2 linked regions of the Drosophila melanogaster genome follow. The protein of the gene in region 2 interacts with the protein of the main gene of each other region in a biochemical or structural test. Each region holds a gene or a part of one and is shown on either strand. Other genes may lie near its edges.

Region 1 (9,396 bases), 9.5 Mb from region 2:
CCTTTAACAAAACAAACTCCAATACGAGCATTTCCAGCACAAAAACACTTGAGAGAAACCTCAAAAACCCGACGAACGGAAGTAGAAATGCAGGCACAGAAAAAATAAAAACAATAGGCACGCCTGCGAGCTATACACATGTGAGTTTGTGGAGTGGAGGTAGGTAGTATATGTACCATCCATACATCCATACATAATATACCTTATAAGAAGTGTTCTGTCCTGGCGAACACGAGACATGCAAGCGGGTCACAATTCGAACAACTTCGAAATAGTTTGCATCTGTCGTTTGAAACGAATGCAGCCCCTGCCGGCAGTTGTTGTTCGGCTTTCTGTCTCTTTCGCACCTTTTACCAGGATCCTGCCATATGGCTCGGTGCACGTGGCGAAGGATTCTCGAAGGATTCTCTGGTTAAGTGGGTACTCGGACTCGCGCACATGCCGCCGTCTGTTCTCAGCATAGTGACTTCGATTTGCTACGATTTCCGAATTTCCAGGTAAACGGAATCGTTTGGTTCGTGTCTCAACAGGACGATCGAAGATCCTTGTTATCCTTTGTTTGCTCGCCAGCCGGCAGATGCGACGGTAATTACATTCGACTTTAGCCACTTTTGTGAGCGTACGATTTTGTTTCTGCGAACCACGCTTACAAGCTTTCTGTTTACACTCATTATGCAAATAAATATTTCAATGACTCAACGCGCTGTGGCAAACTTAACAAAAGTTAACCGAATTTTTCGGGGAACCTGTTTCCGAGCCGTGCGACACGTTATAGCCATTAAAATATGCAATTCAATGAAGAAATGAAGACCAAAGGTGAGAAACACAGAGAAATTTTCAACAACCAATCATTCATCCAAGGCACATTTACCATTACGCATTCATAACTCATAAAGCGAGGGAAAATCGTAGAGGAAAATCACTGGGGAATACTAAGAACTAATTTAATATGCACAAGAATGTATAATGCGTTGAAAACAAATTCCTAAGACAATAGCCAAACCAAAGCTTATTTGAATTTATTCAATCCTTATACTGAATTTGTAATGACCCTGGAAACTTGATACAAATGCTTCGATGTGACAGAAAAATATATTAGATTACAAAACAAGATTTTTAAAGGCACTAGTAGTTTAATTTCCTAAGTATTTATCCAAATGTTGATCTCCAGCAAACGTCGTGTAATCAAAGTACACAAGATGTAATATTTTTCTTTCCCAGACAGAAGCAAACGTAAAACTGGCTAAAGAGCTCTTTTTTATCTGACAGTTTTAAAATGGGAAAGGGATTTTTCAAAATGTGACTTTGCGATAAGCAAAACAACAGGAGAATTTGTTTGCTTACAAGTTTTGTGGAAAGTTACGTGACATCACCAGCAACTATGTTTAGATAACTGCTAAGTTTAGACGATTATCCAACCGATTTATGGCGGCAAAGGTCGTCGCGGAGGCAAAGTGGTCCAAAATTCGAGGCGATGGAAAGTCAGCCAAGCCTGACGATTTTCCAAACGGTTGTCTCCCGCTATTTTCCAGTGGCATTCTCTGCTCTGATTGTCATAGTTTCGTCGTCAAAAGGGGGAAGGAGGAGGAGAGTCAAATCAATTTTATGGCGCACAAAAGTGTAACCACGTTAGTTTTCTCTGTTCCAATTGTCAACGCTCGTCTTCTGTCGACGCCAGGCAAATAGACATCACACAAAACAGCTGTTGGCCAATTGGTTTAGCAATTTCCGGGTGCCAGGCGCCCAAAAGTAGGCAGTGCAAATACCCAATGAAAATAATCGATAGGAAACTAAACAAACAACCCATATACTTGCCAAAAGAAGCCATCCTAGTGTTTTTTGTGGGGGCGCAGTAATACTGGCGCAAATAGTCCCCTATTTGCCTAATAAGCCAGGCGAACAGGTGTGTCACGGTATTTGGGTTACATATAAGAATTTGGCATAGGTAAATAAACGTTCTATTTCAATAGAATTTTATATCAGAGCTAAAGTAATTACATACACAATTTGACAAACTATAGTTTCTATATAAGATTAATCCTTTATCAGCGCACAACCAGCTGACAGACCGGAAATTGAACTGGCTCATTAAAGGCAATAAAAAAGGAGCTAGGAACGGAAATTCTCGTAATCATATCCAAGCATGCCCTTTGACATTCTTAAGGCGCTGCGGCTTTGGCCAACTTAGCCAAGCCAAGGCCAAGTTATTACCAAGTTGGCGTGTCGACTTAGTCGGGTCTTCGAGAGGCGAGAAAAGTTTTTGGCATTAATGCGAAATGTTTGCTGTTCAGCTTTACGGCTAGTTAGCTATTGGCAGGCAAGAAAAATGCCAAGTATAAACAAAAAGTTACAAACTCTCTAATACCCTTTAAGGTTCATAATTGTAATTTTTTGCAGACTTTCAAAGCAATTGCAAGTGGTTTTTATAAAAGAAATACAAGTGGGGACACCTAAAGGAATCCCCGTGTCTTCTAGGCCGATTTAATAGCGTTATTTTCTATTAAAATCTGCCTGTTAATCGACGCAGCATTTAAGTATCAACTTAATGACAAAACGTTTACATGCATAATTATCCAATTTTTTGCATTTTTAATTTCCTGCCTTAGATGTAGAATGCCAGGTGCCACATGCCCGCTGTGTCCCGTCTCCAGAGCTAAGTTAATGGCCCAGAAGTTGAAGTTCTAGCTGGCAGCCATGACTTGGAGTTAGACTTGGTCTTGGACTTGTTCCCGTGTTCTTGACTTGTCCAACGTCTCTCTTTGTTGGCAGTTGGCTGGCTGGCTGCTGCTGCTGTTGTTAATCATCGGCGTTGCAGCATAAAAATAGAAAGGAAATTCCATGAAATTAAAGTTTTATGCAGCCACAGCCGAGGCAGCGATCAAGTTGAAGTTGAAGTTGAGGTCTAACTCCTCGACTGAGTGTTGAACTTGCAGAGCGATGGGATGGAGCTCGAGGATGGGGCGCTGGAGCTTGGAGCTGAGAGCTGAGAGCTCGGTCTTAGCCAAACGTTTAGCGAAAGCCGCGTCTCGAAGAATGCAGTCGACTTGGCATAATCGAAAGGCATGTGAGAAAAGTTGGAGTCGGCTGGCTGCCAGCCAGCCACCAAACCGGTTCCATTCGACGCGGCTCCACCATCCCAGAGTTGGCTTAACTCAAGTCCAACTGCACCCAGGTAGCATTATGTTCTTACTTTTTTCCTCGGCTTGTTACCAGTTTTTTTTTTCGTTCGTGTTTCTGGCTTTTCTTGGAATGTTTCTGAATGGTTTTTGCTGGAGCTTTTTGCCTGAAGTTTTTATGAACTGCTGAGATTTATAATCTGACCAGGCTGCAAAGCATTGCTACCAAAAAAAAAAGAAAAAAGTGCAGCATAAATCAGGGAGCCCTTTTGGTGGAAACTCAAGATCTTGAAGAACATTCCGAGTAAATCAAGTTGAACAGCATAATTATGCAAAGCAAAAGTATCCCATAGTTTGCGGCTGCAAAAAACTCTCTTCTGGCGAAAGCGGGGGCCAAGTTGGCATTTAATTACACTGTTATTATAATATATTTTCACCCACTCTCGGTTGGTTTCGTTCTCAGCCGCCCCAAACCAATTCATTACTCATTTCAATGGGAAATTTTCCCCATTTTCCATTTTGCCTTTGCCACTTTTCTTTTTTTTCTTCGTTTTGTTTGTTATCGCAGTAATTTATGCAGTTGACAGTCAAATAATTTGGCACACAGTATACATTAAAATAAATTAACTTTACAAAAGAGCTGGGAGAAGAGTTTGTGGTAAGAATATGTGCATGCTTCGGCAGAAATTCATTGGATTTTAAACTGAAATGTGGGACTATATTTGAAATAGTCTAAATAGTCTTTATATACGATCGATTCGAAGAGTTGTAGTCATGCCAAATGATTCATCTTCGGAAACGTGAGAGACTGGAGACCAGTAGAATCCAGTCAATCGTAACTTTTTAGATATATATGTACGTATGTGCGTATGTATGTATGTGCGTTCATGTGATCCAGCCAAAATCAGCTAATTGCTAATTGTGTTTATATATTTCATTTGTTAACCCTCTCTCAACAATTGCTATGTTCAAGTGCAAACTGCAAAGATTTATTGAGTTTTTTAGCTGGGTAATTCATTCTAAATTACTGGTATCGCTATAACCTTAATGGATATACTCCCCCTGATTATTAAAATTAATGCCCCAAAACGTATTTTGAATACTTTAGCTTATTGCGAAGCAAAGTCTAGTATAGTGTTACATAGTTTGAACAGCTGTTTTTAGTTTTCTATACCAATGCATATTGAAGACGTCAAAAACTGGAATTATTACAAAAATGAATATTATGTTTTTACAAATGTCAAAGCAGCAACAACTAGCGTAAAGCTGTAAAAGAATTGCATATGTATATGCAAATCTGATTTTGCACCACAATAAACTCGTTTTGACTTGGCTTTAAATCCGAAGCTCAAGTTAAGCTCAACTTTGGCTGTTGTTACTGTTTTTTTTTTTTTTTTGGTTTTAAACATTTACCATATATATATCGGGATCGGTTTGTATTTGAGTTGCTTTTTTTGGTATATTCCAAAAAGCCGAGTTTTGTTGTCAGTCTGTTTTTGTTTTGATCACATTCGTATGTATAATTAATAAATAAATCCGGTTCGGGCCTTATATAACTTTCTTGCTCATTCAGTGGATTTTTGCCAACGTTTCGGTTTTAACTATTTATTAATTCCAAGAACACCTCGCACAGCACACAGCACACGGAATGTGGGGAAAATCGCGAAAAACCGAAATAACGACAACGCGACACCGATTAAAACGATCCCCGTGTTAAGAGCCCGGTGCCCGGTAAATGGATGGCTGGGATCGGCTTGGCCCAAAAGGCCTGGACTACTTAGGTGTTAACTTTTTTACTATGACCCCCCCGGAAATTGGAAAAAGGTTACACTATCCCTACGCGGACATTTGGACAACCGACGACGACAGTGGGCCGAAAGCGAATGGAAGCGGAGGGAAAACGGAACGCGTTTGTCCGGCAAGCGGTAAGCGGTTAGCTCGATGCGGCGGCTCAAATTGCTCTACTGTACTGGCTGACTCTGGCCGCACGCTCAGCGCTGTTTGAGTCGAGAGGAAAGAGTGCGAGCGTGCAAAGAGCGGAAGAGAGCGACAGCTGTTACAGGGTGTTTCGGCCTGTGTGTGTGTGCACTGAGAAAAATCGAACAAATTGGCCCTGATTTCAACTAAATGTGGTGTTAAGATCACTTTGAGGGAAGAGTGATCTTACTACTTTTCTATCGATTTGGAAAAGGTCGTCATCAAAGGGTATTGCCTTATTCTATTACGCGCTTTTAATACAACCTATTAAGCCATTATTATCATAGTGTTTTATTTTATTTATTATATTACAAGTTGTTAAGTCCTCTTAAAACTTTAAAGTGATTTTTTCAGTGCACCAGTACGTTTGTGGATTTGCTCAGTTCCATTGTGTTTATTTACTACCAACGACGACGTCGTTTTGCTTCTTCCATCTCACCTCCGCTCTGCTGCGTTTGTATTTGTTGTGATAATGATAAAACTGCGACGCGTTTCTGCAGCTTGTAGGTTTTCAAGAGTGGGAGTGAGATAGCAGAAGTTGAGCGAGCGAGAGTGGCGTTTAAGGTATCTCGGCCAGGTATAATCTCAGATGCGCTGCATTTAGAGATCGCGATTTGGTGACCGTGGCTTAAAAGATTTGCGGTTGGGATAAGTTGAGAAAATTCTTGGAAAACACGAGCTCAATTTTATTATTTAACTCTGGGAATTTCCCAAATGGGCCAGTGCTAAGATAATTACAAAGCCGGGTAGTTCAAAAAGGTCCTCTTATTGTTTTGTAATATCTCTGGCTCTCAGATTTATCGCTAACCCATACGCCTTGGATTTAAAGTTCGGAATTGTCTTTAGTCGTCTTTCTTTAGCAGCGCTCAAATTCTTGGAAACTTTGTAAAATAAATTATGAATTTTGCACGGGTGTAAAAATTACAAGTTTTAAGGATGTTATCTTTAAAAACTTGCGTAATAAAAATTACTAATCCCGAAAATTTTTTTGTCTTCGAAATCAGGATTTGAGATACCCCATTGAAGTGATAGAAGGGCATTCAAAACCAGTTGGTTTCGTTGGTTCTGCAGCTGCCAGTTTTTTCCACATGGAGTATGAAGAGCGAGTGGTTTGGTTTGAATGGAAATGATTATGGCACTCAAGAGAGTCATCAAAGAGAGTTACCAAAGACTTAGCTATTAACAAAATGCAAAAGATGGCTAGGTGGTTATGAAATCCCAACGGACATACAAAACAAATGAAAAGAATAAAAACTGATTAACTGAACAATAATCAAGGCTCGGTAATCAATGTATTGAACTTATCGATTTGAATTAGTTGCCCAACCTAAATTCCGTGACAACAATGGCAAAATGATCGATCGAAACCGTAGAACAAAAGAGCGCGCGATGCAAGGTCGTTCGCTCTTTAAGAGAAAATTGTACCCTAAGAGAAACATAGATAACTCCGAAAGATAAATACCCAAATGTGCGCGTGAGACAGTCATACATATAGATAATAAGAGAGTTTTCAGCAATGAAACGTGCGAAAAATTGCAATGCAGCAGCGACTTTAATCCAGGTAGCCCATAAAATCAGGTAGTAAAAAGAATGGTATCAAAACTATTGGGAGCAAACCATTGCTACCTACACATGGCACCCAATCGCGCCAACATTATCGCAATTTAAATGCAGAAAAAACAAAGTGCTGCAACTGATGAAAAAAGCAGACTTGCACTCAGAAAAAATGTAAATTCTTATTGCTATCATTTAATAATACAAATATTTCCAAATTTCATTAAAAGATGACATAAAATTTTCAAACTTTTTCGAGCTTGGGATAAGTTATTCAAAAAGTAATAAAATCAAAATTAACCATAATAAGTGCATACTTATGAATTGATTTACTCAAAACACGAGAAGATGTTAGTTATATAAAGCTTATGTCCATTATCATTTGACTCCATTACGTTAAAATTAAAGACGGTTATGCCTTTTTCCGTGTGTTAAATGTGTTAAAGCCATTACAGACATTACTCGACACTTTTAGATAAACCATAATGAAAACAGCTAGCACTGAATGAGGAGACCCCAGATCCCAGACAACCCACCCACCTCCCGTCGCAGACAAATAATTCCAGCTCCGCTGGTATGAACCGACAAAAGATAATGCCAGACAATGGGGGAAAGGGGAAAACGGAAGAAGCATAGGGAAGCATAGAAATAGGGAAATGGCCATAAGCTGAGAAATCAATGTCAGTCAATGGAGCTGCGGGGCAGACAAAAGCCACATGTGCAACCTAATCAAAATTTCAATCAAAATGCGCAAAATGCCGCAATGAAAGGCTCACAACAAATGGCAACAAATACGCTCAAACACAGTCTAATACGTTGGCATGAGTAATCCAAACCGAATCAATTCACTCGAATTGAACCCAATCTGGCCTGTAATTGCGATTAAGAAGCCAATTACTCATACAAATTGCTGGGTCAATTGTTAAGGATTTCCATTTGCAGACAAGAAGATTAACAAATCAATTGTTGGGCAATAATTGAAATAATTTTGCGACAATTCGAAGGGGGTGATGAATAATCGATTAACCCAATGTTTTGATAATCAAGATTCAAGGTAATTTAGTTTTTGTGATTTTTTAAAGGTTTGTATATTAACTGTGATGATTTAATTCCATTTTGGGTTTAGGAAAAATTGTTAAAAATATATTACGGAAAAAAACTTGTTTGTTGTTTCGTTCTCTCTCTCTCGTTGAAAAAAATATTTGAAATTGCTTACCTTGTATTAGTTTAAGGTGCCTTGAAAAAGCTGAAATGAAAAAAATATTCTTTATTATAAATAGAGTATTAAAGCAGTTATTAAAGTTATTATTTAAGCTGCTGTTTCCGTTACAAAATTTTAAAAATGTTTTTAATCTGGCAATGCTTGAACTCAAGTCTCTCTTAAAAGAAACTTAAGAGCCTGCTTACACCCAATGCATGCACATTCACACTTGGGCACTCAGCTGACAATGTCAGTGACGTTTATAAAAAAGTTCCCACGGTCATTAGGGTCATGACAGCTCTAACATATTTTGTCTCGTGTTCGCAATTTGTTTTTAATTTAAAACTGCATGTGTGTATGTCTATGTATGTGTTTGGCCAAGTAAATGTGTTCTTTTAGCCTATTGCTTATGAGCGTTTCTTGAGTACGTTCTTGAGACGTCGCCGAGCTGAGCCGCAAAACTTGAGTGGCTCGAGGGCTTAAAAGCTTTGTCGGGCAGGTGAAAGAGCTTTTTGTTAATGCTAAGCTCGGCTTGCGGTTGAATGAACTGAAGCTTAAAGTGATTTAAAGTTATTGCACTGAGGATATAAAGTATCACAAGGTATGTACGCTTATAGGAATTAATTGTGTTTAAAAAAGATTTTGTATATCAAATTCTTCTTCCTATTGCCATACATTTATTTTTAAAGATACAATTTAGTAAATAATACTACATACATACATATATGGAAAAAAACAAAAAACACCATTATTGTCACACTCATCATTACTCAAGTATATTATTTTAGGTTAAAGACATCATAAAATTAAAAATTAAATTCGTTTAATTGTAACCCTACTTATTTATCTTATGGATATTTTTTTTTTTTGCTTTGGCGGACTTTCTAACCAATGTTATTTTAAGCCGATAAAAAGTGGTTTACTTTGGCTGATTGCATCTCGGTTCTTTATCAATTTCGTCTCCCACAGTGCCAAATTGTAGGGGTCCTTAATTTTTCAGGGGTTGACAGCTAACCGAGTCCTAAAAAATTAAACTCACAAATTTCACGCCCAACCAATTAGCCTGGGGTTGCTCACGCCCTCTCAACCACCCTCTTTTCAAACTATATTTTCTGCCCCTAGCCCGCCCACTTTTCCCTGCCGATGCGAACTGAAATTTTCAAGTGTCCCCGGGATAAGGTTGCAGATGCAATTAAAAAGCATTTAACGGATTAGAGGCCATAAATAGAGGATTGCAATAAAAATATAGAATAAATACCAGCATTAGAGGACACCGAAACCTTGAAGGGTTGAGCATCGTGTGAACCAAACATGATTTTATTGGAATTTAATTTAATTTAATTAGGGCACAGCCAGTTGAGAATGCCAGTGAAAATATTTCAGACTAAGTTCGCCGCGAATAAATTCCGAGCACTTTTCTCGGATATTCCCATGGCTGCTAATTAATTTTCCGTTTCTGTTGAAGAGCTCAGGTATTTGTATGTAAGGTCATTAAGGCACAAAAGATTTATCCAATTGCTTTTGAGAAATATTAAGCAAGCTGACTTT
Region 2 (9,482 bases):
AAAAACGTGCCCGCACACTCTTTACTCTAACGGATATACAAACATCTTTCTAACTTTTAAAAACTTTAGAAGTCTTAAGTTTATTTAATTTTTGAGGCTGTTAGCTGATATGTTTTGTATTCCCTCAGAGATTATGATCTGGTTGTCGTTGGTGGTGGCATCGTCGGCGCCGCATCTGCCCGGGAGATTGTCCTGCGCCATCCATCCCTCAAAGTGGCTGTCCTGGAGAAGGAGTGCAAGCTGGCAAAGCACCAGAGCGGCCACAACTCCGGCGTCATCCATGCTGGCATCTACTATAAGCCTGGAACCCTGAAAGCCCGCCTTTGCGTGGAGGGCATGCATTTGGCCTACGCTTATCTGGATGAAAAAAAGATCCCGTACAAGAAAACCGGGAAGCTAATTGTGGCCACGGATGAGAAAGAAGTGAAGCTGCTGAAGGATTTGGAGAAGCGTGGCATTGCCAACAACGTACCGGATCTGCGAATGATCGAAGGCAGCGAGATTCAGGAGATCGAACCCTACTGCCAGGGAGTGATGGCGCTCCACAGTCCGCACACTGGTATCGTTGACTGGGGATTGGTTACCGAGCATTATGGTCAGGATTTCAAACAGTGCGGTGGTGATATCTACCTGGACTTCAATGTCAGCAAGTTTACCGAGACCAAGGAGGGCACCGACTACCCAGTGACCATCCATGGCGCTAAGCCCGGTCAAACGGTTCGTACCAAGAACGTATTAACCTGTGGCGGTTTGCAATCCGACCTGCTGGCTGAGAAGACTGGATGCCCCAGAGACCCCCGCATCGTGCCTTTCCGTGGAGAGTATCTGCTGCTGACCAAGGAAAAACAGCATATGGTCAAGGGTAATATTTATCCGGTGCCGGATCCACGTTTCCCCTTCCTGGGAGTTCACTTTACGCCGCGAATGGACGGATCTATCTGGCTGGGACCAAATGCCGTTCTGGCTCTGAAACGCGAAGGTTACACGTAAGTCTTCTTAGAGCTCATATTTAAACTTGTCTGACACTTCACTTCTTCCAGCTGGGGTGACATTAATCTTTTCGAGCTTTTCGACGCCCTGCGCTATCCGGGCTTCGTAAAGATGGCGAGCAAGTACATCGGTTTCGGACTCAGCGAGATGTCCAAATCGTGGTTCATTAACCTGCAGATCAAGGCGTTGCAGAAGTACATCCCGGATATTACGGAGTACGATATCCAGCGTGGTCCCGCTGGAGTACGTGCCCAAGCAATGGATCTGGATGGCAATCTGGTGGACGATTTTGTTTTCGATCGCGGACAAGGATCGGGAGCGCTAGCCAAGCGAGTGCTTCACTGCAGAAACGCCCCATCGCCGGGCGCTACTAGTAGCTTGGCCATTGCCAAGATGATCGCAGACAAGATCGAGAATGAGTTCTCTATCGGCAAGTGATGCCTCTATCCCAAATAATGTAACCAAAGTCCAAAACTAAGTCCTATTTTCTGTTCTGCCTTTATGTCAGTAATGTCTGTACTGATTCGCCACTATCGCATTTCTTTTCGAAACTGTAATATTGATCTATTGTGTATAAAACAAAATTAAAACTTGTGTAGGTTTCTAAGATAGCCTTTAATTCAGTTCCAGTATATGTCGGTTTCTTCTTTGAGGTGAATCATCGTCCTTAATGCCCAACACCTTAATCTGCTTCTGTAATGATTTCTCCTCCAAGGCAGATTGTATCAGTTTTGTGCACTTTTTGTTTAAAATTTTCAGACCGTTTGCAGCATGCTGACGCATTTGAGGATCACAGGATTCATCCGCTTCAATCGCTTTTAAAAGGCGATAAATGGGGAGTAACATTTCCTGGTAATCCAGAAGGTTCTCCATGCCGTTTAATAGTTCAGCTAAGACCAGGACTGCTGCACGCTTAGAGGGAACATATCCTCCGGTGGTTAATTCGCTATTAACAAGTTGGAGTAACTCGTGGAAGAAGTTCTGCACTTGAAAGGCCAAAAGGCGACAAAGCTGGGCAAGATTGGCAAAGGCTGACATCCGGAATTCGTGAACAGGAGACCGGGAGCCGTACATGAAGCAGTTGAGAAGAACAGCCTTGTATCGAAAGCAAAGAGGACCTGGATGGGATTAGTATGAAAGTTTAGGAGTTATTCTTAGCTGTGTAGAACATTGCTTACCCAACTCCTGAGCGACTTTCAGAATAGCTTCACCCACTACGAGGCGGTAGTCTAAGTGAGCCGTCTCTGATAGGTACTCATCACTCAATTTGTCCAGCACATCGGACTCCATCACATGAACAAGCGACACAAAGAGCCGAACACAATTTAAGAAGGTGTAGGATTCCTTATCCTTGAGAGTGGTCAGGGCTAACGCTATGATAAGTTGACCCTGCGCTAAGGTAGCAGGATCTCTTTTTTTCAGCAAATCAATCATCATCTGAATTCCATACACTTGCATGTGGGATTGTTTTTCCTCTATCAAGGACCGAGCTCTTTGAAAAGGTTGTATTTTAACAGCCTCACTTGGTCGCCATGCGCCGTGAATTATTGTAAGCAATGATTTTACAGATTGCTGGATAAGAGGGTTGGAAGATCGAGTACCCAACAGGTGCAATTGTTCTTTCAGTTCCTTACAGGCCTCTGAAAGTTGAATATTCTCACTGCCCTCAAGAATTTCCTGCAAGAGGTTTAGAACGAGAAGTAGGATCTGATCCGTGGTATCTTGCTCTCTAGATCGGTGGACAAGCAAGTCTTTTAGTATATGTAGAAGCTCCTTGGTATGTTGTGATAGCTGAGCTCTTAATGGTTGGTGGGCTACCATTTGGTTTAAAGCAATGAGCAAATCTAGCTTCAGTTGATATTTGGAGTGCAGAAAGTCTTTGAGCTCTGCTTCTGATGAAATAAAATCTACGCTGGCTGAAGATTTATCATTTATCTGTTTAGCTATGAAGCCCAGAAGAGAGAGGAAAACTTTGCAGGTGAGGGAATGATGAGAGCTTGATGTGAGTAGACCGGGCAATATTCTGCCCATATCGTGATCTGCTAGATGATCTTTGTGAGCTACTTTAACCTGAATTTGAGTTGTGTTCATGGAAGGCAGGATTATAATGCGTGGGTTTAAACACTTCCAAGGAGGTTCCTTCTCAATTTCCCATTTAAACAGCTTCTGGAGTATCGCAGGTAATTCGTTTTTCATTTCTCTGTTGTCCAGACAACGCAAAATAATGGCAGAAATCTGCGATGACGCCGGTAATTCCATTGGAAGGCCATCGTAGAGTTGGAGCAGCAAAGGAAGGTAGGGAACGAGTAGATTACTGGGTAAGCAAGCTACGGTTGAAGAACAAAAGAGATGCTGCCATAAGAGAATGCGATTGCACAGTTCCTGGTGATCCATTAAGATAAGGCCATTAATAATGTCTTCTGGGTTACAAAGCGTTTCCCAGTGTTTGAATAATATTTCTTTTATCAGCTTTTGATTTGTATCACTTAAATCGTAAAGTCTTCTGAGCGATAGGACACCGGCGCACATTTTGTCCGCATTCTGCAGATAGAACTTACAATATTCTAGCACCTGGAGAACCATCTTCTCTTGCGCTAACTGAGAAAATCCTTTTCTGGCCACAATACTAGCCACAATTTCCGCATTTCTGGAAGAATTCACATTGGGATTTTGATGCAGGGCCTCAACAAGACTAGCAAATCCTTGGGGTAAGTGAAGCTTTCCTAAGAGTTGACGGTGCAATAATTGGGCCAGAGTTGGGCAGAGAGTCGTAGCTTTAAAAAGCAAGATGTTGCGAAAGAAATCTGCTTTGGATTCATATTGCCAGAGGTAGGCTATAGCCTTATCCAGCAGTGGAGAGTCTTGCTGCACACGTAGACTCACAATGGCCGCCAGTAGATCCCTTTGCACCAGCTCCATCGAGTTGGCTATGTGGTATTGTCGAATATGCAGTAGATTAATAAAGAACTGAATGCTTAGAAGCATCAATGAAAAGTTAGCTTTGATTTTCCCCTGAGCCTCACAAAAGATGGGCGACTTGTAGAAATCCTCATGTAGCTGGCATCGAAGCGAGTAATATGATAATTCTTGGGAAGCCTGGATACACAATTTCAGGTGCGCTACCGAAATAAGATCCTCCTTGGCGTCGCTGTGGAAATTAATGTTCCTCATGATCGAATGTAGCACATGTTGCAATCTTATTATATAGCATATAGTACGATCCGAATCGGGATCAATACTAGATTCGTGATCGTCTGTTAACTGATATTCCAGGCACAGCTCATGCAATTGCTGACCAATCTCGAGTTTAGCATATTTTTCCAAAATTCGCAGGTTGATTTCCAAGGCTTCGGCAGTCCCTGAGTTATTCGCCGTATTTGCTGTCGAAATATTAGTATTAGGGATACTACAATTATTATATGATGTTAACCAATTTACCTAGAGCTTTACTAAACCTTAAACTCTCTAGAAGAGCAAAGTACTTGGCCGTATTTATCATTGTTATCCCAGCAAACTACAATTTTGCGAATTTAGCGACCATTTGCTAGAGATGCTTGTTTACAATTGCACCAGCACAATCGATAACATATTGATAAGGGAAACACGATGTTGGCAGCATAGCTAATTAAAACTGCGCGATAGTTTAATGCAACTGTAGCTATATGTTTTATTGAAAGTAGAACCATATTATCTTTTTAAATTGGATCAAATTACAAAAAATTGTTATCATAAAACCTATTTTGTAAACGGGGATTTCCTTGTTTTCAGAATTTCGAGATTGCAACCAACTTATCTATATATCGATAGGCGGCTGCACCAGCCGCGGGTTGCGCATCTGACTGCAGCAAAGCGCCCTGGTCACACTGGCCCAACAACTCGAGAGCAGCAGGAAAATCGAACAACTTTCTTTTTCCACTGCATTGTGTGTGTGCATGCAAAAACACAAAGTGCGCAGAATAGCTTTATTCAGCTAGCCGATACGACTCGAAAGTGGATTAATTGGCCAGCGGCACCGACGCCCCGCCCACCGTCAGCCGCCCTCGCAAAATTAAAAATTGCCAAAAACACCTACGCGCAGGCAATTAAGACCGTGTTAGCTAGTGTGCGTGTGTGCTCGCGAGTGTGTGTGTGTGTGTTGTGCTGCTGGGGCAGTAAACATTTTCTAGTGAAAATCGGGGGAAAATGAAGAAAATCCTGTCTAAGTTCGAGCGCAATGAGAACTCTCGACTGGAGAATCCGCCCAACAGCAGCAGCTCGTCGTCCTCGAACGAGAAGAACAGCTTCGTGGGCAAGGTCTTCACAGTGGGACGCGTCACGGTCACCGTGGAGGATGTCCTGGCAGAAGGTAGACGACTATATATACACTCTTATATATGTGCTCCCATTCCCCTACCTACAACACGTCGCCCGCGATTATGCTTATCACCTGCCTGATTTACAGGTGGGCAGTAGCCTGCCGTCCGCTTTTCGGTCTCGCCCCTCGTCACAGATTAGATAAACCCCTTCAGCGCGAGAACTCCCAAATGTGGGGCGTACTCAAAGCGCTAGAGAGCATAAAAATCAGCTGCGTATCCTCCATAATTGGGGACACCACTTGTCGCATTTCCGATTAAATCCAAATAAATTACTCCCAATAATTTCTGTATAAGATGTTAAACTCAAAACAGCTAAAATCTGACTTTGATATATTATCTTTTAATAAAACTGTAAAACATTTTAAATTATTTCATTAATTATGAATACTAAATACTGGTTTGTAACCTAAATTCCAACTAATTGAACTGCAATTTTGCCCTTGGCATAGAACTACATATTTATGTCCATAACTCGGCTCTCTAATGGCGTGCAGATATTTCGTCCAAATTTATGTCAGTCTTTAAAGAGTTTATTTTTGCCAAAACCAGAAATGCCAGCATTTCTATTGTGACAAATGGGTGTCCGCGTTAGAGAAACCCGACTGTACAAACACAGTTACGGTTCTGGTTGGTTTTTCCATGGAATACCCATTGAATTCCCGTAGCCACTACACATGGCCACAAATCAATTGAATCAATTATGTTAATTTAGCCAATGAAGCGGCAAGACCAACACTCATCAGCCGACTGTCTCCGACAGTCTTCCGTTTTTCACCTTTCGCCGAGCTAAATGGCAAAGTTCGCCCCTAAGGAAATCGCCTGTGCTGTGTCCTTGTCCTTGAAATGCGGAGTGCTCCACTCCACATCATCCTGCAGTGCAAGTGCCTCCTTGTTGGCCTGGCACCAGTACCCTCCGCCCAACATTTGATCATCTAACGATTGCTCACCCACCGCCTGGCCAGCCATTCGCCACCTTTCCTTTAGCCATTACGTAGTGTTTTTTACTTTTTATACTTTTGGCAAGCGGACTCGATTCGTAATTTTGTTTTGCGCTGCGCTGGCGCCGCTGGCAATTAGTCAGCTGTTGTCGGGCATACCCTGTAATTAAAAAGGCGGAGCGTTTGACGAACACGGTTATTTGGTTAAAGTTATTGAATTAGTATAACAAATTATAAACTAAATTATATATTATTTATTAATTCATTTAATCCAGTAACGTAACTATTGGTATTTCATTTAAGAAAGAGAAAAAATAAATAGAGTCTTTTGCAGATGCTCAATGAATAAAATGCGCGTATAGCCAAGTTTAAACTGCTCGATATGCTGGATACTTCCAAAGTAACACTGTGCTTAATCACCTTCAATATTTACCTGCTTTCTTTGATTCGATTTTTGAGCAGCCAACAACAATTACAAATGACTAAGCGACAAACGGTTAACGAATGAAGCTTTCCCGCCTTAACCCCTCAGCCCCCACCCTTAACCGCTTACTGCCCACCTTGCAGTTGACGCCCCTTCAGACGTATTTTCTACCCTCGTTTGCGTTTCGAATTGCCTTCTCGCGTTTTCTCGCATCGCTACAATTGTGCATTGTTATTGTTGCTTTTCATACTATTATTACTGGATGTTGTTGCTGTACTTTTTGCCAATGTTGATTTGTTGCTGTTGCAACCTTCAGCATTGATTAACATTTGACGCCATAATTTCACAAAGTCGAGCAAAAATGGTTACATTTGCTGGTCCGCTATTCACTTCTCTCTATCGCCTACACAGGGAGAAATGGTGTGTGCATTTACAGCAAATGTTCCATAAATATTTTCAATATTAAAACATTCTCCTAATCGTTGCATCGTCTATGCATCTAATGTATTGAGATCATTTTTTTTTCTAATATCATTTCATTTTATATCTAATATATATTTTTATGTTTTTTTCTTAGTGACCACTGTTCCTATCTTTTTATTTTGCCGCCCCACCGCCTTCCCCCGCTGAGTATTGTTATTGTCGCATGTTATTGTTGTTATTTCTGTACGTGACCTTCAATAGTTTAGTTTATATTGCGTTGCCTTTTTATCGTACATTTTGAAGTGGCGTAAAGCGACAGGTGGAGAGGGCTGAAATGTGGGGGCATTCTACTTGAAATTCTATTTGCAATAAACTGAAATAAACCTCATGCAAATGGCCTGTTAGGCAAAACATGTGTAAATCGTTCCATGGCCAGACAGTAACTGCTATCACTCGAATTCGGGTACCCTCTACTATTTTAACACCACGGGGGGATATTTGTGAACGTGAAATGTTTATAGTAAAGAAATTCCATTATTATCACGTAGATATATGGCATAAATTATGTGGGAAGGAATGGCCAAAGATACGTGTGCTATAAAAATGTGACACATATTTCCTTTTAATAAACAAATTAGTTTATTAATTAGCTACTTCCTGCCATATAAAATAAAATATTCGTATATATGTATTATGAATATACAATAACAGGGTATTCATCGGGTTTAGCTTACTCGCAGTTTCCTCCCCCATTCAAATATGCTATGTTGTTTACAGCTGACAGCTGTTATGGATGTCTAGCCCGTCAACTTACCCCATGCTCTAATGCTCTGTTTTTCTCTTCCCCATCTCTTCAAAACTCACGCAGGTGGTTTCGCCATGGTCTTTTTGGCAAGGGGCAACGGCGGAGGCAGTTCCTCGGCGACCAAGTACGCCCTGAAGCGCATGTACGTCAACAATGAGCACGATCTGAACGTAGCCAAGCGGGAGATACAGATTGCGGTGAGTAAATAAATCGGGACAAACAAACCTAATCTAATAGGGCAATCACTTTCACTCCCCCAGAGCAACCTGAGTGGGCACAAAAACATCATTGGTTATGTGGACTCCAGCATCACGCCCACGGGAAACGGGGTGTGCGAGGTGCTACTCCTGATGCCCTATTGCAAGCATCACATGCTGGCCATGATGAATGCGAGGTAAACGAAGTGAATCTAAAAATGTAGTCCATTTGATTGCGGAATTCGAATGTAATCCAATGAAATTCGCCACAGATTGCACGTTGGCTTCACGGAGCCAGAGGTGCTCAACATCTTCTGTGATATTGCCGAGGCTGTCTCTCGATTGCACTATTGTCAGACTCCGATTATCCATCGGGATCTTAAGGTGGAGAACATTCTGCAAACGGACGCGGGCAACTTCGTACTCTGCGACTTCGGATCGGCAACGGCCAAGACGTTAAATCCTCAACAGCACGGAGTCACCGTGGTGCAGGAAGAGATCCAAAAGTACACCACTCTATCTTATCGGGCTCCCGAGATGATCGACCTGTACGGGGGCAAGAGCATAACCACAAAGGCGGACATCTGGGCACTGGGTTGCATGCTCTATAAGCTGTGCTTCTTTTCCTTGCCATTTGGGGAGAGCACTTTGGCTATCCAGAATGGACAGTTTTCCATTCCAGACTCCTCAAAGTACTCGAAGGGCATGCACCAACTGATTAAATATATGTTGGAACCCGATATGGAGAAGCGACCAAACATTTGGCAAGTTTGCGAGGTGGCCTTTCGACTGGCGGGCAAGGATAATCCCGTTCAGAATCTCCATGTGAGTGATGCATAATGTTTGTGTTCAGATTCCTGTATGATAATCTGTTTGCTTATTTTTAATCAGAAAACTCCCATTCCAAACTTCGACCTACTGGTAGTGCCTCCGTTTGAATCGGAAGCCAAGAGGATCAGTGCAGCGGCCTCCAAGGCGGCGAAGGCTCAGAATGTGTCAGTTGTGGAGGCGGGAACCAGTGTAGCTCCTCGGTCTCGTCCTAAGGGTTCCTCATCGGTACATGGAGGAAATCCATTGGGTCTCGGTTTGCCTCCCAGTCCCTCGCCAAGACAGAATATCACTTCTCCACAACCCCAACCTCAACCTGTGGTCGAGCAGTTCCAGGCCAACTTCCCAGCTATGCCACCTGCTGTTCCTCCACCTCCTCAAGCTGTTACTCCGGCAGCTCCTGCTGCCAGTAAACTCTTCGAGTCAAGTGGCTATCCAGATCCATTCAATGAGCCAGCTGCAGCAGTAATTCCTACTGAATTTCTACCAGCAGCAGAAGAACCTAACAAGGAGGAAGTGCCT

Evidence for each region.
Region 1: the proteins of Nak (region 2) and numb form a complex in vitro, tested with the Drosophila melanogaster proteins (3 studies listed by BioGRID).

The regions. Positions count from the first base shown.
Region 1 is NT_033779.5:9,445,515-9,454,910, reverse strand, and holds the start of numb (numb), read right to left. Parts: upstream 5,082-9,396; 5' UTR 4,530-5,081; intron 4,316-4,529; 5' UTR 4,291-4,315; intron 1-4,290.
Region 2 is NT_033779.5:18,964,106-18,973,587, reverse strand, and holds the start of Nak (Numb-associated kinase), read left to right. Parts: upstream 1-4,843; 5' UTR 4,844-5,172; coding exon 5,173-5,335; intron 5,336-7,998; coding exon 7,999-8,132; intron 8,133-8,195; coding exon 8,196-8,329; intron 8,330-8,404; coding exon 8,405-8,957; intron 8,958-9,023; coding exon 9,024-9,482. Other genes in the region: L2HGDH (L-2-hydroxyglutarate dehydrogenase), read left to right, coding at 129-986, 1,041-1,428; Tango6 (transport and golgi organization 6), read right to left, coding at 1,606-2,108, 2,169-4,370, 4,429-4,489.